Coturnix japonica: one gene and its partners. The protein of the gene in region 3 interacts with the protein of the main gene of each other region in a pairwise test. Links are inferred from orthologs where the notes say so. Each region holds a gene or a part of one and is shown on either strand. Other genes may lie near its edges.

What was found.
Region 1: the proteins of ERBB2 (region 3) and EZR interact in a protein complementation assay, tested with the Homo sapiens proteins (2 studies listed by BioGRID and IntAct, with this or other methods). The link is inferred for Coturnix japonica from reciprocal best matches to the Homo sapiens genes ERBB2 and EZR.
Region 2: the proteins of ERBB2 (region 3) and GAPDH interact in a protein complementation assay, tested with the Homo sapiens proteins (2 studies listed by BioGRID and IntAct, with this or other methods). The link is inferred for Coturnix japonica from reciprocal best matches to the Homo sapiens genes ERBB2 and GAPDH.

The regions. Positions count from the first base shown.
Region 1 is NC_029518.1:47,136,560-47,146,275, reverse strand, and holds the start of EZR (ezrin), read left to right. Parts: upstream 1-4,860; 5' UTR 4,861-4,981; coding exon 4,982-4,993; intron 4,994-4,999; exon of another isoform or gene 5,000-5,947; intron 5,948-6,129; exon of another isoform or gene 6,130-7,428; intron 7,429-9,716. UniProt on the Homo sapiens protein: Probably involved in connections of major cytoskeletal structures to the plasma membrane. In epithelial cells, required for the formation of microvilli and membrane ruffles on the apical pole. Along with PLEKHG6, required for normal macropinocytosis.
Region 2 is NC_029516.1:69,301,844-69,311,583, reverse strand, and holds GAPDH (glyceraldehyde-3-phosphate dehydrogenase), read right to left. Parts: upstream 6,273-9,740; 5' UTR 6,149-6,272; intron 5,777-6,148; 5' UTR 5,759-5,776; coding exon 5,736-5,758; intron 5,122-5,735; coding exon 5,022-5,121; intron 4,809-5,021; coding exon 4,702-4,808; intron 4,618-4,701; coding exon 4,527-4,617; intron 4,420-4,526; coding exon 4,304-4,419; intron 4,203-4,303; coding exon 4,121-4,202; intron 3,952-4,120; coding exon 3,800-3,951; intron 3,687-3,799; coding exon 3,608-3,686; intron 3,397-3,607; coding exon 3,313-3,396; intron 3,169-3,312; coding exon 3,071-3,168; intron 2,723-3,070; coding exon 2,653-2,722; 3' UTR 2,416-2,652; downstream 1-2,415. Other genes in the region: C-type natriuretic peptide 2-like, read right to left, coding at 7,788-8,048, 8,325-8,342. UniProt on the Homo sapiens protein: Has both glyceraldehyde-3-phosphate dehydrogenase and nitrosylase activities, thereby playing a role in glycolysis and nuclear functions, respectively.
Region 3 is NC_029542.1:3,922,220-3,931,169, reverse strand, and holds part of ERBB2 (receptor tyrosine-protein kinase erbB-2), read right to left. Parts: 5' UTR 8,948-8,950; coding exon 8,863-8,947; intron 6,606-8,862; coding exon 6,454-6,605; intron 6,360-6,453; coding exon 6,191-6,359; intron 5,809-6,190; coding exon 5,671-5,808; intron 5,571-5,670; coding exon 5,502-5,570; intron 5,224-5,501; coding exon 5,111-5,223; intron 4,870-5,110; coding exon 4,728-4,869; intron 4,648-4,727; coding exon 4,531-4,647; intron 4,309-4,530; coding exon 4,182-4,308; intron 4,105-4,181; coding exon 4,031-4,104; intron 3,941-4,030; coding exon 3,850-3,940; intron 3,650-3,849; coding exon 3,450-3,649; intron 3,365-3,449; coding exon 3,232-3,364; intron 3,140-3,231; coding exon 3,049-3,139; intron 2,959-3,048; coding exon 2,798-2,958; intron 2,719-2,797; coding exon 2,671-2,718; intron 2,586-2,670; coding exon 2,447-2,585; intron 2,378-2,446; coding exon 2,255-2,377; intron 2,181-2,254; coding exon 2,082-2,180; intron 2,012-2,081; coding exon 1,826-2,011; and 15 more. UniProt on the Homo sapiens protein: Protein tyrosine kinase that is part of several cell surface receptor complexes, but that apparently needs a coreceptor for ligand binding. Essential component of a neuregulin-receptor complex, although neuregulins do not interact with it alone.

The DNA of each region.
Region 1 (9,716 bases), on a different chromosome or scaffold from region 3:
GAGCACTTTGCTTTGGAGAGAACTGGAAAGGTGGTAGAATCACTGTCACTTAGTCCCGAGTCTGAGATTTAAGGCCTTTCTAACTTTACAGCCCTGATTTGAGAATCACTGGGTGAAACCCAACAGCTTGCATTACGAAAGTCAAACAATATTCTGATCTTAAAAGCTGTGAGTCAGTATGATATCACAGGAAAAGAAAATATACTTGATATCCATTAATTGTACATTTTATTTTGTGTGCTTATTTTAGCCCCAGAATTCTGAATTTTGGCACTCTTAGCTGAGATAGCTTGTTAGTTTATTTTTTAACTCCTACAGCATCATCCTTACAGAGAGAGCAATATAAATTTCAATTCTGTGTGTTTTTTTTCTCTCTATCATTCACCTCCCTTTACTACTCATGCCTGCTGTAGGCACACATCTGCATTCCATTTATGAAGCACAAGAACTAAGTTGGTCAACATTACTCGACCTGCTCTTTTTGTCAGCACTGCCTTTATGCACCTCTGGTTAGATGCTTAAAAACAAGAAGAGTTGGTCCCTGTAGAAATAATTCAATCTTGCAGGGGGGTATTTGAAATACATGGCACTGAGCTCTGCTTCTAATCAGACTCCAAATAAAATAGCACAAAGGAAGGTATCAAGGTAAAATAGAGATTACCTGTGCAAGGGAACTCCCTTCCTCTTTCTTATCGTATGCATTAAGATCATTATTTCATTTTGAGACGTAAAAGCTGTGTTGCCCCTAGTTTCCATTTGCTTCCAGTCTTGAACAAACACGGCTAGATTTACATGCATAGAATAATCTTTACAAATCCAGAACATCGTGAACATCTATTGTCACCTAATGCATTTTTAAACAATGCTTTGTGATGTGGTGGTTCTCATTCAGCAGATTGAGCAAATTCTTATTACTTTTTTTTTTTTTTTAAATTTGTTTTCATTAATAAAATCAATAATTCACTGTGGATTTCAGTCACACAGACGATTACCATAGATTTTTTTTGCTTGATCACATGCATGTTTAAACTGTTTTTATCTAGTACGTCTCTGTACAATTCATTGATGGTCAAGCGGAGCGTCATGTAATCTCAAGGAGCAATTGTGGGTGCAGCTTGAAAACAAAATGATTGCAAAGATAAGGGTCTTCCAGCATGTAACTGCTGGATCATTTAACAGTGTTTATTTCCAGGCCTCAATTCGCCTAACCATTTCTTAGCACAAACTCACACTGGAAAAACACATTAACTGAACTTGGCAGAAGCTTCTCATTTAAGGAATAACAAAAAAATCAGGAACAAGCTTTGAGCTCTTTCACCATGTGTATCCCCTTCGAAAGAAACAAAAGAAACCTGGAGAATGTCAACAGTGCTGTGAAAGAAAACGCTCGTCCTCTGTGACCTGAATTTGTCGGGTTTTCATTAGGCTCAGTGTGGGCAGAGTAAGGAAGGAGCTCTCAGTTCAAGCAGAACTGGAACTCGACAGATCCTTGGCTGCTCTTCCTGGAGCGTGACAGTGCAGGAATTACAATGCCAATGTTTCAGGAATTCTAACTGGGAATGAACTGCCTATTCACAGTCATGCACAACGAAACAGAAGCTACTGTCAGTAATACCATATGACTACTTTCCTCCTACAGCTCTTAGAATTGACAAAGAAAACTATCCTCTTGATTTTAAACCTATATGAAGTGGCTCAGAATGTGGTATCCTTTCTTTTATCTGCTATGTTGACTGCCTGGACTTTAAGTTGTCAAAAGTAAGTCACTCTATGTTTCTAGTTAGAAAAAAATCCCAGGAGTAAAACTGCAAACAAATCACCAGAGATGCTGCAAGACTATTCCAACCATGCTTGGAAAATTGGGATCACACTTCCTATATTCAGAAACAAGAAACCATTGATTTTGTGTGTGCAAGCAAGAATGGTGTTTTTAGGACATAAGAGTCCACGCTTCCTAATTTCAGGATAATCACACTTAGGAAGATGTATTTTAACTAAAACATGGCTAGTGCCAAATCTGTTAAGCAAAACCACTTTATACTGATCCTGTCCAATTCTTTGAATTCATCAGTGCTTTATATCAAGTTGAAACAAGCAGAACAGCAAGATTAAATTGATTTCTCCTTAAAACAGATGGAAGGTCTTAAAATACAGTTTGGTTAGAGGGCAGTAAGGCACGGGAGCTGTTACAGGGAGCAAAACAGAAACTGGGTCCTGCTACTGACCTGCTGAGCAATTTAGGTCCTTTCATCACCTCCCCAGCTTTAGTAATTCCTGTAAGTTGTTAGTAATGCCATACTCTTAATAGAGCAGGTTAAGAACAAGTGTTGGATCAGTGCAGCTGTTAATCCTGTAACTTAAAGACTTCATTTTGATTTGGGTCTTATGCTCGATTGTGAGGTCTAGCACAAAATGCTGTAGTTAAAGTGCCCATAAAAGCTTTCTCTTGCTTAGCCAATACCTAAATCCAGAACCAACTGTGTTTCCTTTTATTATCTTATTTTTCAAATGTAAATTTTCCAAGCTTCTACATTTCAATCTGTTTTTTCATCTTTCTACTTCTACCCTAAACTGGCCTGATGAGAGCTGATTTCATGCCTGCTCTCATGTTCCTTTGCTCCTGACTCAAATGGCAATTCAGCCTGTAAGCATTATCAGATAGTGTAGTGTATTACACGTGATGCCCATGCTCCAAAAACTCAGCATGCTGTCAGGACACTATCAAGAAAGCCACAGAACTGAGAGCTTTCATCCCTTCTTTGGAGACTAAGCTAGTCTCCAAAGCTAGTCTGAGTTTAACTGTATCTGCAAAGGATGAATAGACTTTTGTATAAAAGGGAAGGAAGGGGTAGGATTATATACATTCCCATCCATTTGGGGAGGAAAGTAGGGAGTGAAATGTAAAGGAAGAAACTCGGGGACCCACAAGAGGGTTCCCTCACTTCAACAAAGACAACTTGCCGCCCTTCTGAACTAAGAGTTTAGTAACTCTCAGTGCTCTGTAGCCAAGGTGGTTTGAAAACACACCTTGCAAAAGGCAAAAGCCCAGGAAGGAGGTTAAGGGTCTCTGGCGAACGCTCTAACATGGCAATTGTTCTTTTCCTTCCACAGATGACAGTTCTGCCTGTCTGGGTTCAACATGTTCTCGTTGGTTGGGTTTGGGTGGAGCGGTGTTGAGTAAGCTGGTAGTTATGGATACCATTGAGGTATCTATCTTTCCCCATATATTGCAGGTGATTGTGGGAGAATGGCACAGGGTTATGTGCTGTGGCAAACAGGAACCTAGAGATTGTATGTTGCCACATTTAATTATTAGTCACCTAGATTCCTTTTGCCTCTGCTTCTTTGTAGTTAGGAAGCAATAGTAACTGCAATAAAAATTCTTCAGTTCTTCAATCAAGCCAAAATACGGTATTAATGGTAAGGAATGAAAATACCTACATGCCTTTTGCACCTATATGCCCCTCAAAAATAATCCAAGACCACCACATAGGGTTCTGAGCGAAGAGTGGCAACAACTAAGTTCTTATATTCCTTACCATTGCTTCTTGGGCTCAGCAGTCATATTCTGGCCTGCTTCACATCTAATACCATCCTACTGAATAAGGTGTGAGTCCCACCATAAACTTATTGCTTAAAAGAAGTCTCCTCACATACCATATGTTGTTAAATTAATCTGATTAAAGCTCATCCCAGTGGGATTGTTCTACCTGAAACCAGAGGCTGTAGCTGTTTCCCAGAAGTGTTTTATCTCATCTCCCTCAGAAGCCATTTAGCTTTGATTGTTTTTTCCTCACCTGCTGTTGCAAGCTGCTTCACATATGGCTCAGTTTTGACAGTAAGGCCCTCTCCTGCTTCCTAGGATCATGCAACAAGAAGGGAATATAGCTGTGAGTTCTACCAGTCTCTGCACCCCTCCCTTCTCTCAAATTTAAAGCAAAGGCAATTACCTCAATTGAATGTGGCACTACCAGTGACTGCCTAGTACTATCTGATACGGGACCTGGAGGAAAACTCAGGGCCGTGTTTTTGTTACTGTCCCTTGGCATTCCCCAGGGTCTCCACAACCCTTATCTTTGACACGTGCTGGCTGTTACCTTGTTTTGAAGCTTCCTTTCTTGAAATGAGGATGTTGAAGACAGCAGCTCGGATCTGCACGTTTCCTTACCCTCGCAGCTCACCCACATGCCATTGCCGGCACACCGGAAGACCTGTGTCCTATGGTCCGTTGCCTGTGACAACGTAAATACGATCTGTTCTCACACCCCAGCGGGCGGGAGGCCACAGCTCCTGCAGGCAAAGCACCTGGGGGCTGTGCAGGAGCAGGGCAGTGGATGAAGGGTGGGTATAGGCACAGACAGCGTGTCATCCATCTCTGCGTGTCTGCGAATCGGTTGGTTGGTTGCACAATCCTGATCTCAGAGCACGGCCAGCTGGAGCAGCCTGCTCACTGTATAGTTTTTAAACTTAGGTGGATTTTCAGACTTTTATTTCATGCTGAAAACGTGCTTTAATACAAAAAACCATTCTGCCTTTTGCTTGAAGAGGAGGCAGGGGCAGGTGCCGGTGCCGGTCGCCATGTTGCGGTGAGGGTCTCCCGCTTCTGGCCGGGCACGGGGCGTGGGCCGCACCTGTTGCATCGCTCCAAGGGCGCTCCCACCCGGGCCGGGGTCCTCGGTCCTCGCCCTGGGGTCTGGAAGCGCGGCCGGCTGGGCGTCGGGCCGCTGGGCGAGGCCGCCCCGTGCTCGCAGAGCGAGGGGGGGAGCGGTGGGGAATGGCCGGTGGCGGGTGAGTCACCCGCGGCCCCACCTGCTACTTAACTGCCGCCGGGCGGCCGGCGCCGCACTCGCGGGTTGTGCCGTCGCCGTGGCAGGGAGCGGCTCTCATTCCTCCTCCCCTTCACAGGGCGCTCGGCTGAGGCGGGGCAGCTGCTGCATGAGCGTTGCTCACTGGAGCCGGGGAAGCACTGACAGCGCTGAAAATGCCGAAACCGGTAAGTGAGGCGCGGGGGCTGCCCGCGTGTCCGGTGGGGTCGTGCCTCCCGTTGGATGAAGCCGCGCCGGGGCTCCGCCAAGGGCGCCCAGGGAAGCTCCGTGAGGCGCGGACGGAGCCGCGAGGTCCCGCGGAAGCTCCGGAGCCGCCCGAAAGGCAGCTTCGAACGGGAGGAGCGGGCGGAACGGCTCGGCGGCTCGATTCAAACGCGGAACCGCCCTAGGGAGCCATGCTGAAACTTGGGCCGCTCGCCCAGCGGCGGTTGGAGGGGAGGGCCGCGCCCCGGGGCTGCTCAATGCCGTGCCCGGCAGGGAGCCGGCCAAGGCCGGGAGGCTGCGGGCCTCGGAGCGCCCCGACCGGGATCAGGGGTGCTCGTCGGGCGCCGAAAGGAAGGGCTTAGTGTGCTGCCAGGTCCGTGAGGTGGCGAAACAGCACCGGCTCTCACTTGGTATTTGTGAATGCTGAATGACAGGTCCTCGTTTCTTGCCTTCGTGATTAAAAACTTAAGGTTCAGGGGATCATTGTACCGCTCCCCACGGTGCTACCGCTGGGTCTGTTGCCAGGTAGCCTCTAACAGTCTTCGTTAAAGCGTTTCTGTTCTTTGCTTTCCTTTTTTTTCAGTTGAACCAACTTGAATACCTTCAAACTTTCTTGTTGTGGGAGCCCCCTCCTGCGTCGGTTTGCTCATGGTTTTGTTTTTTTTTCAGACTGTTTTGCTTTGAATTCTGCTGCCACCCTGGCAGTTAGAAACGGTAATTCCCTTGAGGAGCTGGCTGGTGCAGAGCTGCCTGTGCTCATGGAAGCAGACAGCTTTGGAACTCTGAAGAGCATAACCAGAGCAGATTGTGGCTGTCTGTTTCCAACAGAGGCAGCACTTAAAGCACAGCACAGTAAAGAACTTCCAAGATTATTAGCTACACCCTTTGGAAGGAGACTAGACGAGCTTATCCTTGGGGTAATGAGCAATGGATGTTCTGCTACTGTAACGCTGAATTTAACTTAGTTAAGAAGAGCTTAGATTAATTTACACTGCAGATTCTGTAAACTTAGGGGGAACAAATGAGGAAAAAAACTCTTCCTTTGAATTCTTTGAAGAGTGCTAAATCTTCATTCTCCCTGGATGTATTTAATCAACAGGAGGCGATATTGGAAGCCATGAGTAGGTGTGGGAAAAATCTCTTTATCTCTCTGCGGAAGGACAGCCATGCTTTAATGGTTTCTGAGACGTGACCTACTGTCCGGGATATATGGAGAAGACTCTGTTCAGTTTGTGTGGAATAAGCTCTTCTTTTTGCAACCTGCATTCGGTCCCCACCTTTCAATGGGGCTGACTGCCACCTTAGTGAATGCAGATGAGGAGAATTCTGTGGAGGATGTCTGAACAGAATGCTTTGGTCTGACTGCTGCAGATCGAGACGGTGTGTTTGGATCCTTCAAATCCAGCTCATTTGTTCTTAGTGCAGCTAAATAGGATTCCTATCACTTTGCAGGGTGAGGTAGGGACGGGTGTGAAGTTGTCGCTCCAGAGCAGAACTGTGCTCAGAAGGAGAATGATAAGAGCCTTTGATGTGTGTGGGGACTGATACCGTGAACTCGTAGGAAATGAAGAGGCAGTTTTTGTTTGATAGGTCAAATACAAAGGTACAAAATAGATTCTACCTACACTTGTTCATGTGTGTCTTGTCAGCTTGGCATAAGTAAATACAATGTTGTTTGGCAGACCTCGTGCTGATAGGGATGTGGTTTTACAAGCCGGTCATCGGTTGTCATCTTAAACATTTTATGTCTAAGCAGATAATTACCACCACGGTTTCAGCATTTGCTTTCTACCTGTCCCCAAAGCAATGAAGGTAAACTTCCATACAGAGCTTTTGTTGTTAGAAAAAATACGTGCACAGAGAGCTTACAGACTGGAATTCAGTCTTTCACACTAAATAAGTCCAGTGAGAGTAAAACATGAGTGATTTTGTATTTTAGTAATGTACCATAGTGAAGTACTAGAAAGCCAAGTGCACGCCAGGTTCTGTACCGGTGCTTTATCGCTGTTTGTTGGATCAGACACACGTCTAGAGTGCTCAAAATAAATCTTGGCAACGTTTCAGGAAATAATTCTGAGATCTTTGATAATAAAGACAACTGTTAATTCCTAATTTATAATTAAACACAGACTTTCTGCCACGTATAACAGTTATAGAGTAACGAGATCACTGGGGTGTGCTGTAAATATGTAACTTCTGGTTCTCAGCTCTTAAGGGTTTTAGGTGGAAATTCACCAGCAGTTCAGAAGCTGAACTTCCATCTAGTCTGAATGATAGTTCATAAGGTTTCACAAATGGTAAATTATTGCATAAAGAAACAGAAGAGATGTTATCTTGTCCAAATCTTGCTTTGTTTTCTGAGAACAAGCAAAGTGTGCAATAAACTGACTTGATCAGCGTTGCATCTTTTCTTTACTGAAGTGTCTGTGTGTGCACTGTGTTTTCCCTTGATCTGTATGTTACTAGCTTATTTCTGTTTGACTCATTGCATGGATGGTGTTCCAGCTGAATTACATCCTTTGGCAAAGCAAGCCAGTCACATAGAGCCACAGGGCTGCGGGCTACTGAGCATTACTTACAGAAGGAGAAGGAAATGTGATCTCTGCTCCAGAGACCTGTTAATTTGATCTGACCTATCAGCATTCTGTGGTCCTTTTTTGAAAGTAGATTATTCTTTCTCCTCTTAGGAAATCTTGAGAGGGGAAAGGAAGCATCACAAGAAATGATGTCAGCTTTGCAGTAGAGCATTTCAAGTAATGCCACACGAGAACCTTTAATACATCTGTGTTTTTGTAACAGTCTTAAAGATAGGTCAGCAATACATGCAGTCTATCAACTTCTGGTGCTAAAAGAGAATACAGGGAGAATATCCAGGCACCATTTTCTAATGTGTTTAATAATAGCTTATGTTCAGAGAGCTGAGCATACCAACAATACCTGCCAGTGTTGGGGGGCATAGTGTTGATGCAGAGAGCCATCATATGTAGGAGTAGAAAGCACATATGTTATAAAACAAACTAAAAACACCAAAACCTATCCTAATAATAATTAGTTAATTAATAATAATTAAACTTGGAGGTGTGGTGGAAAGAGGTCCCTCAATGTGTAGAACAGATTGATATGAATTAGTTGTTGATAGGATGGACTGTCTTGTCCATTGATCTGCAATGTGTGGGGTTTCCCTGATGGAAAGCACTAATAGAAGGTGTTAGGAAAATTCTTGAAGATAGGTTGTCGTTTCTGTTTTTGTCCAGAAAACACAAATTCTAAGCAGAACCTGGAGAAGGATTTGGGGTTGATTGTAGGAGGAAGGCCTCCTCGCAAAAGGGGAGATAGTTTAGTTTAAAATATGAAGGATTTAACTATCAAAGAAAGGGAGGATTTGCTTTAGGCAAGGCTTATAGTTAAGGGGACTTGTGAATATCAGAGCAGTTCAGTTTCTGGTTGCTTTCTCCCCTTGGAGTGTTCTAAGACCTAATGCCCTTAATTAAGATAAAGTCTGATGAGGACACATTGTAGTGCTGCTGCCTGTAGGAGTGTGCAGCTGGAACTGATGACTCAAAAGGCTTTTCCCAGTCCTGTGTTATTAATGTTCTAGTGTGTGCCTGGCACCAAGTGGTTAGACAAGTCCTCCATACCTGTTTGTTATTGAATATACATGCATTCTAAAAATGGACATGAGGACGGCATGTAAGTCTTCAAGGCAAACCTTTATCGGTCTGTGAACGCTTAATGGCATTACAATTCAATGTTTGTCATAAGCCAACCGGAAGAGCTAGAAGTGTAGCAACAGGGATTTACTCTAAAAACTAATAATCATTGATATTTTCTAGATCTTCCCAATTTTGTCTTAACTGTGTCTTCTAACTGCACGTGATAGTTTGGTCTTCAATTTCTTCACAGCAGATTTCTATAACAGGGCTGAAATAAAAAGAAAAACCTTTAGAGATAGTAAGTAATTAACATACTCTTAGCTTATGGGTAGCTATGGATTTATGCAGTAATAAGATAGGTTTTTTTTCTTGTGAGCACAAATTGCAATATGTCAGATGATACGGTATTTAGTGTGGTTGATACCAAGGGTGCACACAGTGGTGCAAAATGGAAGAAACTTAATATCAACCAATTGTGCAGTCTCACCCCAGGCTTCAAAAGGAAGTTGAAGGATTCTACTATTAGTAAGTGTAGGGAATAGTTAACAAATAGTTAAAGGTGGAAGAGAATGAGCTCACAATTGTGCCAAAATCCAAATTACTGTATGAGCTGAATAAGCATTCCTGAGGTCAGTCTGTTCTTGCTAGCTGCCTTAGAGAAATCAAGTGTTAACTGTTCACGTTAGACACTACTTAAAGAATTTCTCGGCCTTCTTGAAGGACAGAGGGTGGAGATAAGCCTTCCTGTTCTCCTTCCGTCCATGTGAACGTCCTCCTCTGTTCTCAGTAAATAAATAAATAAAAAATCAGTGACATGTCAGGACTTTTTGAGAATAATTCTTCTTGATGCCTACTGAAGGTTCCTGCTTCAGCGTCGTTGTTGTTTGGCACGCTGTGTCCGAAGGGCTTTATGTGCACTGTAAATCCCATAATCACTCAATTGACCTTGAAGGAAGGCAGTGCTGCCTAAGATCGTTGAACCACACTACGCACTGTTAAGTAATATATCTTGGCTGTGCCGCGGGGTTGTTTT
Region 2 (9,740 bases), on a different chromosome or scaffold from region 3:
CTGAGATGCATTTGAAAAGGGTTTTAATACTACTACTTTTTTTGGTCACACTGTGTCCTAAAAACTTGCCTTCTTAGGCTCTTTGAAATTGAATTTGCTGCTGTTTATCAATTCTTCTCTTTTCGTTTGACTACAGCTACTGCTTTTTGAAGGCTGTCTGTGCAAGTCTCACGCAGTCAAGTATAACACGTTACTTATTGTTTCTTCTAGGAGATGTACATATAAATTGAAAGTAATTTCCTCGAGAAGATGACACTGCTATAGTAAGATAATACACCCAGGTAAGTAAGTTAGCTGTCCTGCAGCCAGAGGTTACATTCAGCTCACAGAACAAGCAACCACCTCTTTGTTTCTGTGGTGTATATGCAGTAAGACTACCAAAATGTGGGCAGGTTGGTCCTGCCGAGATGTCTGCTTTTGTGAGTGTCCGTGCGTGCAGTGCTGTTTGCATACTGTGACTTGGGGTCGTGAAGCTGTGCTTTGTGAAAGGCATCTGTTACGATGAACTCGGAACACTGTCACTGGAGGTGTTTGTCTTGTACAAATGTCCAATACATGCCTCGCAGTCTTTTCTCTCTCTGAGCCCTGTATCTTCCTTGCACAGACCTTTAGGAGTGATATGCTCAGCGACAGGTTTACTTTACAAGTAGTCAGTATGTGTGGATGTCCAACACTTTTATACCATGTTTGTGTGGTGGCTGTTTTGTTCCATTTTGCTGTGATGTTCCAGTAGCATTAGTTAGTCTGCACGTCTGTTCAAGATGGTTTTCACTACATAACGTCCTGCTTAAGGCTGAACTTTCACGCTGACATCTTGAGAAGGTCTGAAAACAACCCCGGCCATTTCTTAGGGGGCGATGCATGTATGGCAGCTGCTGGACACGGTGGCACGGCGATGGCACAACTCTCTGTCCGCCTTGCTGTGGTGCCACCTGCAGGCGCAGAGACTGGGTGCAAACTCGTCGGGACTCAGGGGAAGGTTCTGGGGGCTGATGGGGAGAGGAGGGGCACAGTATTTATTGTATTAATTTGCCCCCCACTCCCACAGCAATTTGATAGGGCTTTGTTGATGAGTTCACTGCATATTTTCAGGCAGCTGTAGACAGCTCAGGAAACATAAGGCTTCTTAGATGAAAAAGGTGATTCTTTAAAACGTTCCTGCTTGCAGGCATCTGGTGTTTCTGCTGCCTCTCAGCACTTCCCTATCATCGCGCAAGGATCTCGCTGGCAGGCACACAGCTATGCAGGCAGCGGCACACAGGACAGCCATTGAAAGCACCAAGCGCAGCAATTACAGCCAGGATGGGACCGACACAGGGCGCTTTGTTAGCCTGGCGGGGCTGTGGGCTGCCTGCTGCACTGCAGCATCCCACCTGCTCAGCACGACTGGCCCCGGCCAGCCCCAGAACAGCTGAAAGCTGAGGAACAGCTGCAGTTTCACTCCGAGTTACCTAAAGCTCCTATCAGGACATTTAGAGGACAAGGCAGGTATTGAGGCCATCCCGGAGCTTATGAGCTGTTCGTACTGTAAGTCCAGGGACAGGTTATGCAACCTATTTCCTCTAAGGAAAGCGACTCTGAGTCATCTCCCTCTAGCGCAGTGAACGTCTGGCTTTCACACAGCTCTACCGTCACAGATAAGCAGCTCCGTGCTTCTCACTTGTGCCTGGCCATGGGAGAGCCTGCAGCCTCAGTCCTTGCCCCAGGTCAGACTGTAAAAGCAGCCATCTCCAGTCAGCAGCTGCAACCTGCCTCCTGCAGAGCAGTGCAGCATCTCTGATGCAGCTCTCAGCCTCAGTGCTGATGAGAAAATAAAAGGAAGGGCCCCATGGCTTTGGTGGGAGTGAACTGCTTATCTACCCTACCACTCAGCAGCCAGGGTAGCTCCGTGCTTTTAGGGGGAGGTAATGCAGCTCCTGGCAGAGGGCTGATACTTGCAGAGATTTGCTGCTCAGGAGCTGCCACTGTGCTTAATTCTAGCTTCCAACACAGGGCCTGGGGCAGCCATTTCTTCCAGGCAGATTTATTTTCAGTTCACTTTGTTGCATCTCTAGTAAGGAAGAAGGAATTGAAAAACTCCTGGCTTTCATGCCCTTTTAACAAGTGAAAACGCAAGTCATCCTCAGCACTTTATTCTGCACACACCCATCAAACAGGAAAATCCAGAGAGCTGGAAGGTGGATGAAGAACATCTGCTCACCATTCCACCACACAGCACATCTTCCACTCAAAGCCCTCCACACCTTTTCGCTTAAGGGCAAGAGTCCTTCCCTTGCTGGCAGGCACAGCATAGCTCCATGCACAGCAGCCCTGCACTGGCTGGAGCTGCTGGCCCAGCAGTTACAGGCTGGCTGGGCTACCTTAAAGCATACATTCAATTCTTTTTTGCTTCCCAATGACACGCAAACAAAGCGCTTCAGATGGTGAACACTTTTATTGATGTAAGGTGGTACACATACAGATCAGTTTCTATCAGCCTCTCCCACCTCCCCCAGGCTGAGGAAGAATTTGGAGGAGGAGTGGGGGAGACAGAAGGGAACAGAACTGGCCTCTCACAGCAGGATGCAGAACTGAGTGGTGGTGAAGAGCGGGGGCTCCAACAAAGGGTCCTGCTTCCCTAGGCAGCAGGGGGGCTGTGTGCCTGTGCCTGGCTCACTCCTTGGATGCCATGTGGACCATCAAGTCCACAACACGGTTGCTGTATCCAAACTCGTTGTCATACCTGAGAAGGGAAACACAAGTGCAGTCAGCACTGATCCAGCTCCTCGTATCCCTCTTCATGTTACTGCTCTTCCAGCCTCAGCCCATATAACCAAGTGGCAAGGCTTCCCATCCAATCCTTATGAAGCAAACAGGCAGCATCCCATCTGCCCTCCATTACAGGAAGGCAGCTGCAGCCATTTCAGATACGAAGCCATCTCACTAGAGACCGTCACATGCTGAAGCCACCTGAACCCTGTGCTGCCATGCACTGCCAGATGGTGCTGACAAAATGAAACAGCACAGAACTGCACCAGAACTGCTCGTCTCTACCCTCCCAGTCTCCCCCACACCCCGAGGCTGAGCATACCAGGAAACAAGCTTGACGAAGTTGTCATTCAGTGCAATGCCAGCACCCGCATCAAAGGTGGAAGAATGGCTGTCACCATTGAAGTCACAGGAGACAACCTGGAACAGAGGAAGAACCGTCAAGCACTCTTCCACCCAATAAGATGGTAACAGCCTGAACCAGAAGCGTCAAAAACATCACCCCAGCAAGGCTGCCACCATCAGAACAATGAGGCAAGTGACACCTACGTAGCAACTATTTACCTGGTCCTCTGTGTATCCTAGGATGCCCTTCAAGGGCCCCTCAGCAGCAGCCTTCACTACCCTCTTGATGTCATCATATTTGGCCTAAAAAAAGGCAGAAGTAAAGATGGTCAGGTCAAATCTCATCTCTAAGTGTCAGCTACAGCCCAGACACTGGGAACTGCATAGCACTAGCCATGCACATTAGGTGCTATTTTCAGCAAAACCAAGATTTTTCTATTAAATAGATTGATGTTGAAGGAAGTAATTTTAGAGGCAGGCCTGAAGATTCTTCAGTCTTGTCCACAGCACTTACTGGTTTCTCCAGACGGCAGGTCAGGTCAACAACAGAGACATTGGGGGTTGGCACACGGAAAGCCATTCCAGTAAGCTTCCTGCAAGAGATATGTCAGCAAAGAACAGTGTAAGCATGTTCTACCACAAAAGTGTTTGAGCCAGCCACACACTGGCTCCTGCCCCCCATCAGACACAGAAAGAGGACGCTCACCCATTGAGCTCAGGGATGACCTTCCCCACAGCCTTAGCAGCCCCAGTGGATGCTGGGATGATGTTCTGGGCAGCACCTCTGCCATCCCTCCACAACTTCCCAGAGGGGCCGTCCACAGTCTTCTGTGTGGCTGTGATGGCGTGCACAGTGGTCTGTGGAAAGAAGGCCCAGAAGTAAGAAAGCAGTCACTTTCCCCAGAGAAAGCACCCCCAGCACTTCCTCCCAAGCCCAATGGAAGCACTGTGTGTGAATGCTTTTTTCCCCCACACATGGAGGACCTGGGGGCAGGGTATCTTACTGAGCATCAAGCTCCAGACCTACCATAAGACCCTCCACAATGCCAAAGTTGTCATGGATGACCTTGGCCAATGGTGCCAGACAGTTGGTGGTGCATGAAGCATTGCTGGGGGAGAAAGAAGGCACATCAGCCAAGTACAACACATGTATATACGTGCAACAAGACCCGAAGAAAATTCCAGGCCAGGGAGCATTCTTCTCCCTTACCTAACAATTTTCAGGGACTTATCATATTTCTCATGGTTGACACCCATCACGAACATGGGAGCATCAGCTGAGGGGGCTGAGATAATAACACGCTTAGCACCACCCTTCAGATGAGCCTGAAAAACAAAAAAGGAAAGATTAAATTACCCAGAACGGCCCAACAGTTGAGAAGGAATACAATCCTCAGAGCACCTTTTCCCATGGGCCACAGCAGCCTACATACCCCAGCCTTCTCCATGGTGGTGAAGACACCAGTGGACTCCACAACATACTCAGCACCAGCATCTCCCCACTTGATGTTGCTGGGGTCACGCCTGAGAGGGGACAAAACCATGGGAGTTACTCTGGAGGGCACTTACTTTCATTCTCTGGAGCAGCGAGAGAAGAAAGCTACTCACTCCTGGAAGATAGTGATGGCGTTCCCATTGATCACAAGTTTCCCGTTCTCAGCCTTGACAGTGCCCTTGAAGTGTCCGTGTGTAGAATCATATTTGAACATGTAAACCTAGCAGGGAGAGAAAAGAGAAGGGTCAGGCATCCTAGATGCAAAGCTCCCACTACAATACCAGCCATCTTGTCTAACTGCTGCTCTGTATTTTGCTCTGCCCAGCTTTGCATCACTACATCTCATTTCTCTCTTAACCTATGCCAGGTTTCCAAGGGGAGCCCCGCTGAAGGTGCACGCATCGCCCAGAGGGGGCACTGCAAGACAACTCACCATGTAGTTCAGATCGATGAAGGGATCATTGATAGCAACCACTTGGACTTTGCCAGAAAGGACAGCAGCCCTGGTGACCAGGCGGCCAATACGGCCAAATCTGGGGAGAAACAGAGAGGTGGGTGAGGAGGAGCACTGAGGAACATGCTTGGTAAGGCACGGCTGAGCCTATCTGCTACTTCCCCCCAGAGCATCTGTCAGTCGCTGCCTGAATGGAATCCAACAGCAGCGGCCAAAGGCCGAGGAGCCGTGGTTAAAGATTAAGAGCGACCCCCGGGCAGGGCACCCACACCACAAAGGTCAGGCGCTAAATTTACTGAGGGCCCCGGGGATCCGGTTACTCCTCGGTGCGGTGGGAGAAGGTCACGTTCCCGGGGCACGGCCGACACACGATCCACCGGGCGACCTTTCCTCGGGTACCCACTGCCCCGGGGAGCCCCATTAGTGCGGGCAGAGCCCCCGACGGGGCACGCGGGCAGCACCGGCGCTTCCGGGGTGACTCACCCCGACCGTGCGGGGAAGTGACTCAGCACCGCCCCACGGGGCCGTTACTCCCGGTTGGGGGTTGGAGGATGGGGGGGTCTCTCCGCGGCGCCGCGGGGCCCCCCGCCCTTCAGGCGACCTTGTCTCGTGTCGTCCTCCCCCCCCCCACGGGCACGTACATCCCCGCCCGCCCCGCCCGGCGCCTCCCGTCCCGGCTCCGCACTCACTCACCCGTTGACTCCGACTTTCACCATCTCTCCCTTATAGTGTACCTGCGGGGACACGCCAACGCTCAGACGTGCGGTACCGCACGCAGCCCGCCCGCCCCATAACACCCCCCCACCGCACGCACCGGGAGCCGCCCCCCCACCCGCCATCCCTCCCTCCCTCCATCCCCACCGAGCTGTGCCCCCCGCACCTCTCCCCCCACCCCCACCGCCTCCATCTTACGCCGCCCGCCCCCGCCTTTGTGCCCCGGGCACCACGCGGTCCTGCACAGCCCCCTCCCCCCGCCGCACTCCTCGCGGTCCGACGGCCCCGACCCTACGAGGGGCTCAAGCAGACGGGAGGGCGGCCGGCTGGGTGGGTGGGTGGGTAGGGGTGGGGGGAGCCGTTCCTCCGCCCCCGTGCCCCCCGCCCGTTACCTGCTCCTAGTCAACGGCCCCGGCGCGCAGTGAGAAGGTGGCGCAGTGCCGCTCCGCCGCCCTTTATAGACACGGCGGCAGCACCCCGCGCCCCGCCCCGCCGGGCCGGCACCGAATGGCAGCGCGAGGGCCGGGCCGGGGCTACGTGCACGCACGGTGCGGGTGAAGCGGCAGCCCCCCCCCCGCTTCTCTCCCCCTCCCCCCTCGCAACAAAGGGCGGCCGTTGGGTCGAGGGTGGGCTCGGGGGGTTGGGGCCGCACTGCGGGGCTTGTACGGAGTGGGGGTGCCCTTCGGATGGGGGGTGCAGACAAAGCCCCGCGTCGGTGTCCTCGGGTGAGGCTGCGGGGTGCGGCTGCAGCACGATGCGGTGCGGCGGGTGCGGGCTGCATTAATGGCAGCACGCACGGCCGAGAGAGCGCCGTGCTGCGAGCCCGCAGCCTGCCCGCTGCCATAATCAGCCCTCGCACGTGTTGGTCACGCAGCCCCGGGCTGCCGGGGTCCCGCACCCGCTGTCACACCGGCGCTCTCAGGCCGCGCTAATAAGGAACTGCAGCATCTCTTGCGCCGTGACAGCGGATATCCTCATATCCTCCCGCCGCCTCGAGCCGCCGCCGTCCCTCTCCCAGCCCGGCACGTCTGCGCCTGGCAGCCGGGCCCGGGGTGTGGGCAAGAAGCGGTTCTTACGTGTTACGGCTGGGGCTCGTGCGGCCCAAAGAGGGGCCGTGGGATGGAGCCGTGCTGGGTTTATAGCCTCCATCCCCTGCGATGGAGCGGGTGCTCGAAGCCGGATGCCCGGCGGGAGGAGGGGGCGTGCAGGGGTGAGGTGGGCCCCGGCTCCAGCGGTGGGGACGGAGGATGCCGGGGGGAGAGGGTCCGAGCGGGGGGTCACGCAGCTCCCGTAACCCAACGCTCCTTGTACGGCTGCCATTCCCGGAGCACCGAGGGGCAGCGGCTAAGTTTAGCCCCGGCTTGAGGTTACGACCTTTTCTTAAAGGCCAGGGGAGGCGGCGGTGCGGCCCGAAGGGGGCTGCGATCGCGGGGCCGGGGGAGCCCCCCGCACGTCGCGGGGTCAGGGCCGGCAGGGAGAGCGGAGGCCCCTTGTTTGCTCGGCAAACACGGCAGCGGCCGAGGGGCAGAGTGTGGCGGGACGGAACAACGCTGCGGCCCCGGGGCGCAGATCGATGGACCCGCCGCCCATCCTCCCCCCAGCGCCGGGCTCGGGCCCAGGCCGCGGACGCGCGTGCGGCCCGGCCCACCCGGAATGGCGGCGGCGCCCAAAATGGCCCCGCGCGTGGGGGCCGCGTTGCCGTGCGGAGCCGCGGGCTCTGCCGCCATCTCCCGGCGGACGCGGGCGGGGAGAGGCACGGGGAGGGTATCGCGGCCCGGCCGCCCTTCGGTGCCGCCAGCTCCGACACGAGGCTCCGCACAGCTCGGTTTAATTCGCGAGTCCCCCGCGCGCCGCCGCTCCTCGCCCTGCCCGCGGGGCTGCGGCCGCTGCTGCCCCAGCCTGTCCCGTCCCGAGCTGGGTCTCGTCCCGGGCCGGCTCTCCACACGGCCGCTCTCTGCCTGCCAACGAGCGAGCCGCTGCCCGCTGTGCCGGCCCCTCGCTGCTGCCCCCTTCACCTCCAGCTTCTCCGGGCTAACAGCCCAACCCGCTGAAGGCCCCGATGCGGTCCATTTTCAGCCCAAAACAGCCCCGGGGCGCGGCCTTCCAGGCCCAGTCTCCAGACAGAGCTCGCTTGCGATCGGCGAGGGCCTTGCGCCACAGCAGGGGCTGTGCGGCTCGGGCCCGAGGCAGGAGGAGCGGCTGCGGCTCGGAGCTGGAGCTGGAGCCCTCCTTCATGTCCTCATCAGCCGGCAGGGATTCGGAATCCGAGGGCAGCAGGCGGGAAAGGAGCACCTGAGAGAGGGATAAATGGAGATGGGCGAGGGTGTAATGTCTGTGCTCTTATATCCCGACCCACTGTCCCACTCTTCGTCCCTCAGGCTCGGGCAGGACGTGAAATGGTGCCTGTGAAAGCCCTCTGCCTGTGACCTTGCATCCACACCAAGGACACCGATGGCCCGCAGCTACTCTGCCTGAGGTGATTTTGCTGCCCAAAGAACAGGAAGGAGTGCTGTGGGCATTGCTGTCTCTATTCCTTGCCCTTCTGCTATTGAATAGTTCTCTCCATACCTGGAAAATAACAGTCATCGGCCCTTAGTCCTTTTGGTGCAGCTGAGTGCTGCTGTGTGCTCACGGTGTTTTGTCGTGTTTCTTTTTTTCACAGAGGAACTGTTAGCATAAAGCAGTCAACTATCAGAATGGGCCTAAGGAAGGCGGGCCCTTCATCTGCTGGGAAGTCTCCATAGTTTGTGTGCAGGCAGGCATGCTCTAATTTAATTACATGCCTCCATAGCCGCCAGCATCCTCCAGCGGCAGGGAGATGGGTCAGGAGGTGCCCTGGGGGCACAATGCTGCTGCCCATGGCGGCGGCCTGTGGTGGCTACTCCATGCCTGTGCATCACATGGATGCCTTTGTGCAATTTAGCTCCATCTTCTCCAGCAGTCAGTTAATGGAAGCAGACATGGGCATCTTCAGTGAAGAGTGAAAGTGTCTCCATGATGAGTCATAGCGGAATCAGTCCTGCGTTTCTAGTTCACATCCTAGCTCCTGCCTTGCAGCTTTCTTCTTGGACAGAGGAGCTGATATGAAGGCAGGGTGCCTCTGCACGCATTGAAGAGACCCACAGCCAGGAGCACTCAGAAGTCTGTTGCCTGGCCCCTACCTTGAAATGCTAGCACTCCTCAAGGAGCTGGCTTGTATAGACACAGCCTAGAGCTGAGGCTGTTGGACTGAAGGGGAGGGAGCAGCCCTTGGGAGCTGGGATGTTGGGTCACCTCACACCATGTTCAAACACGACCTCCCCAAACTGCCCCTGCCACTCCCAAAGCCTCCCGCAGCTCCATCCCATTCCCTCCTACCTGGAGCCTTTGTCCCGATGAGGACATCGCTTGTACGCTGGCAGAGAGCAGAACTAAGAGGAGGAAAAGCGAGCAGGGCCACGCTGGGAGCCCCAGCATCTTCTCTTTATTTGGGGGTTTATGGCAGGTGAGGCAAGATCTGTAGCCTCTGAGAGCCCTTCCCCTCTTTGCTTTTATAGTGTTGGTTGTGGTGGGCGCCTGCCCCCCAGCTCTGCTGCACAGCCCCCTGGAGCTCCTTAACCTTTCAGCCCTTTTGTCCATGGTGATATATTTCAGGGTGAGCTCAGTGAGACCCCTTCCTCTAAAGAATAGACACAAAAGTGTTTGCCGAGTGTCTGGGAAGACAAATGTAGGCCAAGCTGCTGCTGGCTGGGGCCTGGAGGTATCTATCTGGATCAGGGAGAGACTTCAAGACGCATCCAGAAACAGGGTGTCAGAGGCTGCAGTATGCAGTGCCACTGACATTCTCGTAGGCAGGGTGCTGTTAATGTTATCGCTTTAAGCACTGTGAGCATGAGCTGCAGCTCAGCTGGCGATTGTGTCACTGCTGGCCGCAGTGAGCTGTGGTGTTGTGGCAGTATAGGCTCTGTTTTTAGCACCTATGTTTTGATAAGCTGGTTGGCCAGG
Region 3 (8,950 bases):
GTCCGTATGTGGCCCTGCCCTACACAGCCACGTCCTCAGGCTCAGCCAAACCCAGGTACTCCGGGTTCTCAGCTGCTGGCGTGGAGCTGGGCCCACCCTCAGGGCTCCCAGCTTTGGGGGGGTCCTGGTTCCAGTAGTAGGGGTTGTCGAAGGCCTGGCTGAAGGCTGTGGGGACCGGCAGCCCCGGGGGGGCCAGGTACTCGGGGTTCTCCACGGCGTGGCCAAAGGGCCCCAGGAAGGGATGCTTGGTGTCCTTGATGAGCCCGTTCTTGCCTTGGTGGCCCTTGGGCTTGTCTGGTGGGGATGGTGGTGCACAGGGGAGCCGGGGGGGTGACGGCAGCTCCCCAGCCTGATTCACGTACTCTGCAGGGAAAAGGGATGTCAGCAGCCAAACAGGGTCCTTGCCCCCCTCCCCAGGGTCCTATATTGCCCTACCTGGCATAGTGGTATGTGGGGCTGGGGTGGTGAAGCCCTCAGGGTCCAGACCTTCACTCTCATCCCCCGGCAGCGCGGTGGGGTCCTCACTGTACCGTGTGGCTGGGGGGCTCGGCAGGGCTCCCTTGGCCCCAACATCCACCTCCAGAGCCTCCGACACGGGGCACTCTGACCCCTCCACCAGGTTCTGCGGTGGGAAGGGGAAGGCGGCTGATTCCTCCCCCTCTGTCGTGTCAGCTGGGGTCTCTGCTGTGCTCTGAGGAGGCAAAGGGCACGGAGTCGGGCACGGTGCTGTGGGGTCTATAGGGTCTGTGGGTGGCATTAGAGAACTTGCACCCTGTGCGCCCTGCAGCAGCACGATGCCCCAGGTCAGCCCTTACCCGCGTGGAGGAGATACGGCTGCGGTACGCGGTGGAGGTCTCAGCACTGAAGAAGCCCTGGTGAGGGACCAGGTATTCCTCAGCATCCACCAGGTCGTCCATGTCCTCCTCCTCCAGCAGCGCCCGGTAGAAGGTGCTGTCCATGTTGCTGGGCAGCCCGATCATGTCGTTCTGGGGGTCAGGGGGGGCTGTCAGTGCCCGTTGGGGCAATGCTGAAGGCGAGACCCCCCTGAGACCCCATTACCTGGATGACCACAAAGCGCTGGGGGTCGCGGGCCATGCGGGAGAACTCGGTGACCAGCTCACGGAACTTGGGCCGGCACTCGGAGTCGATCATCCAGCCTGGGGCAGAGCCGAGCACCGTGAGGGCGGCGTTGGGGTCCTGGCCCCCACGTCCCCATGTCCCCCCCACTCACATTTCACCATGATCATATAGACATCGATGGTACAGATGGGCGGCTGCGGCAGCCGCTCGCCTTTCTCCAGCAGGTCGGGGATCTCTCGTGCCGGGATCCCATCGTAAGGTTTCGCCCCGAAGGTCATCAGCTCCCACACGGTGACACCTGAGGACATGGGGATGTGGGGTAAGTGCTGGTTTGGGACCCCCTGCCCCCCACAGCCACCATAGGGACGCACCGTAGCTCCAGACATCGCTCTGGTGGGTGAAGCGCCGGCGCAGGATGGACTCCAACGCCATCCACTTGATGGGGACCTGGGTGGGTGGGAGGAGTGAGCGGGACCCTCAGGGGACACCGCGCTCCCTGTTGCCCCGTCCCCATGTCCCACCTTGCCCCCATCTGCGTGGTACTCGGTCTCATCGATATCCAGCAGCCGTGCCAGCCCGAAGTCGGTGATTTTGACATGGTTGGGGCTCTTGACCAGGACGTTGCGAGCAGCCAGGTCACGGTGCACCAGCCTCACCTCCTCCAGGTAGCTCATCCCCTGGGCAGCAGGCGTTAAGCCCCACATCTACATCCCCCCCACAGCCCCTCAGCAGCCCCCTCTCTTACCTTGGCGATCTGCACACACCAGTTGAGCAGGTCCTGGGATCCGATGCGGTCTTTGTTCTCCCTCACATAGTCCAACAAGCAGCCGTAGGGCATCAGCTGCGTCACCAGCTGCACCGTGGAGGTCAGGCAGATGCCCAGCAGCCTCGACACGTAGGGGCTGCCCACCCCGGCCATCACATAGGCTTCCTGCAGGCAGCACAGATAGGTCAGGTTGGCACCGACTCCCCAGCCCCGTGCCCACCTCCCCTGCACTCACATCCAGGATCTCCTTGTTGGCTTTGGGTGATGTGTTCTCCCGCAACACCTTGATGGCCACCGGGATCTTCACGCTCTCCCCATCGGGGATCCAGATGCCCTATGGGGGGTGGGGGGGCGGTGAGTGAGGACACAGATGGTGCCATCCCACTGACTGTGCCTCCCACCCCTCACCTTATAGACAGTGCCGAAAGCGCCGGAGCCCAAAACCTTCACTTTCTTCAGCTCCGTCTCCTTGAGGATGCGCATCTGTGCTTGGTTGGGGAGGGCCCCGCTGGGCGTCAGCGGCTCCACCAGCTGCGAGGGACAAGTGGGTGAGGAGGGACAACACTCTGAGCCCCCCCCAGGGTCATCCAGCCCCCCCACCTCAGTCTCCTGCAGCAGCCGCCTCATGGTGTGTTTCCTCTCCTGCTGCCGCCGGCGCTTGACGCAGACGACGGTGATGAGCAGAAGGACGACGACCAGCAGAGCCCCCACCACACCAGCAATGATGGATGTCACCTGGCTGCAGGACGGGAGGTGACAGGGGATGTGGGGATGGGGTCACCCCCTGATGCTCCCCTATGGGAGGGGGGTACCCACGGTGGTACCTTGGCTTCTGGTCCACGGGGCAGCCGTCCTCATCCCTGATGGTGCACCTGATAGAACACGGGGTGGGTGAGCATCCCACTGCCCCCCCACAACACACACACACACACCTGGGCACTGTGTACTCACGAGTGGGTGCAGTTGGTGGGGCAGAGCTGGCAGACCCCCTCCTCGTCTGGGTACTTCCAGATGGGCACAAAGGAGGCATCCACCTTCACCCCGCTGGGGCAGCGCCGCACACACTGCTGCCCATCCTTATAGTGCGCGCATGCCACGCACTGATCCGCATCCTGCAGGGTGGGGGGCAAGGAAGGGTGGGGGGTGAGGGACCTGGCAGCAGTGCCATCCTCATGCTGGTGTCCCCATGTCCCTGTGCTCACCGATCCAAAGCAGGTCTCGGTGCCATTCTGTGGCTGGCACTCAGGGTGGCAGGGCAGGCAGCGTGTGCCGTTGGCGTGCTCCCGGATGGCGCTATGGGATGGTGAGAATGGGATGGGGTTGGGGCTGATACAGAGCAGTGTCCCTCTCCTCCCTGCTGGGCTCAGCCCGACCCCATTGCTCACCCATCCAGCAGGTTGCAGGAGGCCACGCACTCCTGGCCCCGCAGGAAGCGCTCACAGGAGACACATTGTGTGGGGCCGGGCCCCCAGCAGTGCCCGTGGGCACAGAGGTGGAAGCACACCAGGCCCTCGCTCTCTGGGGAGATCAGGCACAGTGTTACCCCCAGCCCGGCTCCAGGGACCACGAGCAGGACTGGGGGTGGTGTTAGGGGGATCCTCACCACACAGCTCGGGGGCTTTATTGTGGGTCTGGAAGAGGTGCTGGCGGGGGTGGCGGAAGATGCTGTTCCATGGCACCTTCTGGAGGAAGCAGAGCTGGGGGTTGTGATGGATGAGCACCATCCCACTGCTGATCTCCTGCAGGGCACGCAGCCCCAGCGCCCGCACCGCCAGGTCCTGCAGCGTCAGTGAGTAGGCACCACTGCCAGGACACAGAAAGGTGAGCACCCACATCACCCCCGGGTCCCCCATCACATCCCCTTTAGGTCCCATCCCCTTTAGGTCCCCCATCACATCCCCTTTAGATCCCCCATCACATCCCCTTTAGGTCCCATCCCCTTTAGGTCCCCATCCCCTTTAGATCCCCCATCACATCCCCTTTAGGTCCCCATCCCCTCTCACTTGTGCAGCACACGGCCACGGATGACACGCAGGTTCTGGAAGACGCCCAGGTCGTCCATGTCGGGTGGCCAGGCAGCAATGTACAGATAACCTGGGGGAGGGAAGGTGGGGGACACAAGTGTGAGCACTGCTCGCTTTGTGCCCTCAGCTCAGGGCTGTGTCCCCATCCCTGTGCACTCACCCGTCAGCTCCTCCAGGCTCTCAAAGACTGACAGCATCTGGGGGTCCAGGGGGGCTGTGTTGGTGCTTGGGTCACTGTAGGAGGTAGGACAGGGGGTGTTTGTGGGGGGGGTCCCAATGGTTCCATCTGGGATGGGGTGTGCAGTGCTTACCCAGCGAAGGTCTCGGGCAGGAAGGCCAGGCTGCCAAAGATCTTGGTGCAGCCAGCAAAGTGCCGGATGTTGGAGGCATTGACAGCACGGACTCCCTTGAGGAAATCCACCCCCAGCCCGTAGCACACTGCGGGGGCACAGAGGGGATGGCAGAGTCACCAGGATCCCCCCCAAAGCGCTGCCTGCCCGGCCCCATTCTGCAGCCCCCCCCAGGGCACAGCAGCTCCTTTGCTCCATTGGATCCCCAGTGGTTCTCCAGCACCGCCCCAGTGCTGCAGAGCTTCCCAGTGAATAGCAGCCCCCCTAGGACCCCCCCAGCCGCAGAACCAGGACCCCTCCTGGGCCTCACCCTCTGGGCAGGGCTTGCTGCACTTCTCACACTTCTGCACGTTGTTGACTGTCACCTCCTGACTGTTCTGGGGGCAGACGAGGGTGCAGGAGCCCACCTCTGTGGCCAGGTAGTTATCTAAGGGGGAAGGAAGGGGACAGGATGGTCAGAGCTGGGGAAGGAGCTGCTCAGACCCCTGCCCACCCCCCAGCACTCACAGGGGCACTGGCTGACACAGCTGGCACCGAAGGTGTAACGTCCATCGCGGTTGGGCACCGACTCGAAGGTGTCAGAGTTGTAGATGACGAGGGGGGGGCAGTGCAGCTCACAAATCCCGCTCCGGTTGAAGTTCAGACATGCCTGGGAATAGGGGGGGGGGGGAACCAGCCATCAGCCCCCCTGTGTTTGGGGGAGACCCCATCCCATCCCATCCCATCCCATCCCATCCCATCCCATCCCGCTGTGCCCATTTTACCCTATGGGTTACCATCTCATCCTACCCCACTGTGTCCCATCCTTTCCTGCTGGGCCCCATCCCATCCCATCCCATCCCATCCCATCCCATCCCATCCCATCCCATCCCATCCCATCCCATGCCCACCAGGCAGTCGGAGTGTTTGGGGCCGGTGCAGCCCGCAGCACATTGCTCATGGCAGCAGTCTGTCGGCTTCGTGCCCTTACAGCGTGGGCACCCGTGGCAGATGCTGTTGGTCACTGTGAGGAGAAAAGGGGGGGCACAATGGGATGGGGACCCCTCCCCTAAAAGGAGTGGTAAGGGGCTGTGGGGTAGGCAGCATCCCAAAGGTATATGGGGAAGGGATTGTGGGAAGCTCTGGAGAAGGGGTTTGTGGATAAGGAGCGTGGTGATGGGGGGGCACAAGTGGGGGTCCCCAAGGTGGGGATCTGGGTGCTACGTGGGGTGAATGGAACAGCAATGTGGAACTTCTATAGGGTTTCCTATGGGGCGGGGGTCCAGGCAGCCCCATACTCACAGGTCTGGCAGTCCTGCTGGCTCTCGCCCCAGCAGTGCCCTTCAGCACACAGCGCCCGGCAGTCAGGACCTGCAGGGGGATGGATGGCATCAATAGGGAGCTGGGGGGGGGGGGTGGCAGCCCCCAACCCACCCACATTTATCCCCTCCCCAGCCTTTGGGCTGCTCACAGGTTCGGCTGCGGCTGCTCTCCACATGGATCTCAGTGCGCAGCTCGTTGTGCCGGTGGAAGATGTCGGCCCATAGGATGGTCTCCTGGAAGCAGAGCTGGGGGTTCCCCTCAATGTGTACCCCCCCCTTCAGGATCTCTGTATGGGGGGGGGATGAAAGAGCTGCCATCAGTATGGGGGCACAGCTCCGTAGGGTCACCCGGCCCCACACAGCAGCTTGGAGTCCCCACACAGAGACTAAAAGGGCTGCAGAGAATCTGGGGAGGGGATTAATGGGGGTGTAGGGATAGGACAGGGTTATAAGCTAAAAGAGATTCATTGCTATGAGGGCACAGAGCTGTGGGTACCCCCTCCCCAGCAGTGCTCAGGTCCAGGGTGGGGGGCACCGGGCTGTGTGGGGGGGGGTCCCTGTGACATGGGGTGGGGATGGATGGGGTTTGGGGCCATTCCAACCCAAACCACGCAGTGATTCGATACCTGCAGCCCCCACAAGGACCCTCTCCCCATATCTGCCCCCTACCTGTGAGCTGCCTCATGCCGAGCTGCCGCAGCCCCACATTGCCCAGCACGGTCAATGCGTAGCGCTCCTGGAACAGCTGCGTCCCACGGATGATCCGCAGCCCCTGCAGCCCCACGGCGCTCACTTGGTTCTCAGCGATCAGCACGTAGCCCTGCACCTCCTTGATGTCCTGCAGGGGGGGGTGGGCACGGCGGTGAGACCCCCACGGTGCCCCCATGTCCCCCCCCATCCCTTCCCATCCACGTATCCCCGAATCCTCGCACCTGGAGGAAGGTGGTGTCGGCGCCGGGGGGCAGGTAGGTGAGCTCCAGGTTACCCTGCACCACTTGGCAGCCCTGGTACAGGTGCCGCAGGGTCTCGTAGTGGCTCTCGGGGCTGGAGGGCTGCAGCAGCTTCATGTCGGTACCGGTGCACACTGCGGGGATGGATCGGGATGTATTGGGGGGGGGTTGGGGGGTGGGAGGGGTCAGCCGAGGCCGGCCGGGCCATCGCCCCCGCGGGATCCGGCCGCAGGAAACGCTGCGGCTGCTGACGGTTATCGGCTCCCAAAAACTTCCGATGGGTTTCCGATGGGCTTCCTGAGCGGCCCCGGGTGTGATGTGGGGACGGGGGAAGCGGGACACACGGGGATACAGCGGGATACAAGGGGATACACGAGGATACATGGGGATACATGGGGATACATAGAGATACATGGAGATACATAGAGATACATGGAGATACATGGAGATACATGGAGATACATGGAGATACATGGAGATACATAGAGATACACGGGGATACAGGGGGATACACGGCGATACAAGGGGATACACGGGGATACACGGGGATACACGGGGATGCGGACCCCCAGCTCCCACCGCGGCACCGCTGCCCCCACGTCGGCAGCAGCCACGACCCCCATTGAGCGCCCACGTCCAGCACTGGGTGGGTCCCCACAGCCCGCACCGGGGGGCCCCGAATGGGGCGGGGGCCGCGGAGCAGGAATGCGGTGTATCCCGCAGTGCCCCCACGCCGCCGGGGGGTGGGGGGAGAACCGAGACAACACGCGATTGTTGAGCGGCCCCGAATGGCCGCGTCCCATGGCCGCCCCGCTCCGACCCCCCCTCATTCCTGTCCCCGTTCGTGGCGGTGGGGCCGGGAGGGGCGGGTCGTGCTGCGGTGAGTCACGGCGCTGGGGCGGCCCGGTCCGGCCGCAACGTCCCGCCTGGAACCGCCTTTTCAGGTCGGGCGTGTTTGGGGAGCGAGCGGGGTGACGCAGAACGGCCCAGCCCCGGCACCGCCCGCGGCCCCCGGCGCCCCACAACCACGCGGGACAGACCCCCCCCCACGGCCCCGATGTGGGCTGGGGTCCCACCGCGTCCCTCGAGACCCCCACGGTGCCCCCCGTGCTTCTCCTTGAGCGGGGTCACCGTGTTGTCCCCGTTGTCCCCTCTCTTGTTTGGTCGCCCCCAACACCGACCCCTCGGCTCCACCATCGCCACAACTTATGGGGACACAGCGGCGGGGGTTGGGGGCGCTCTGCCCTCGGTGCGGGGGGGGCTGTGCGGGGTCTGAGTGACGGCCCCCGGTGCCGGCAGCTGCCACGAGGCCGTGGGACGAACCGGGCTGTAGCCGCCCCCAACGACCCCAGCGGCCCCCGAACGTCCACAAGGGAAAACTGTGCCCCCGGAGCTGCCCGTGTTGGACGGGGAGGTGGGGACAGCCCGGTGCCCCCACCCCGCAGGGAACGGCCAAAGCTCAAGGTCTGCTCCACCTGCTGCGTGCGGGCACGGGATGGACACGGTGCTGCCAGGGCCCAGGGAAGGCGGGGGGGACGGATCCCGGTTCGGTCTCAGTTCCATCGCACCCCCGGGGTTGGGGCTGGGGTCAGCGGTGGGGACGGGCCAGCACTCGGAGCTCGGGTTCCAGGGCGATGGGAGCAGCAGGGACCCACCGAGACCCCATTTATTGCCCTGGGAGCCCCACAAACACCGGGGGGTGGCGGTGGGGCCGATGCCCGCCCCGTCCCCGTCCTCGCTCCGACCGAGGCCCCGCGGCGCTGGATCGTGCCCCGGCTGCTCCCGTCGGGCCGGGCAGGGCGCGGCACCTCGAGAATGTGGATGGGAGCGACCGGCGGGGACGCACCCCCCGCCCACCCGCACCGAGCGGCACCGCCGCCGCCCCGGGGCCCATCCGCGCCCCGAAACCGGCTCCATAAACCGGGGAATGGGGGGCAGGGGGGGCTGTCCCGGCGGTGGGGGCTCTCGTGGCACCTCTCGTGATTGCGGGACCCCGGTAAAGCGGGTCCAGCCCACGCAGCCGGTGGGGACGGAGCTTTTTTTAGGGTCTCCAAACCCTCGAGTGGAGGCACCGGGGGGCACCGGGGGGGGGGCACCGAGCGGAGCGGCCGCCCCCGGCCCCGCGTCTCCCGGCTCAGCCCAATCCCGCGTGGGAACGGCGAGAGGGAGGGGCTGCCCACGGCGGGGGGGGGGGGGGGGCAACCGGGCCGGGGGGTCTGTGGGGGAGGGGGGTCGCTTTGAACCGCAGATCCCCAGCACCCCCCGTTACCCCCGTTATCCCCGTTACCCCCAAACCTTCCACTCCCCGCCCCGGATCCCGGTTCTCCCCGCACAACTCCGTTCCGATCCCGCCGTTCACCCCCACCCCGCTGCCCGTCGGGGCGGACCCACCTTCGGTGGCGGCTGCGGGGCAGAACGAGGCGAGGAGCAGCGATAAGAGCACGGGGCACAACGGGCGGCCCCGGGGGTCGGTCATGGC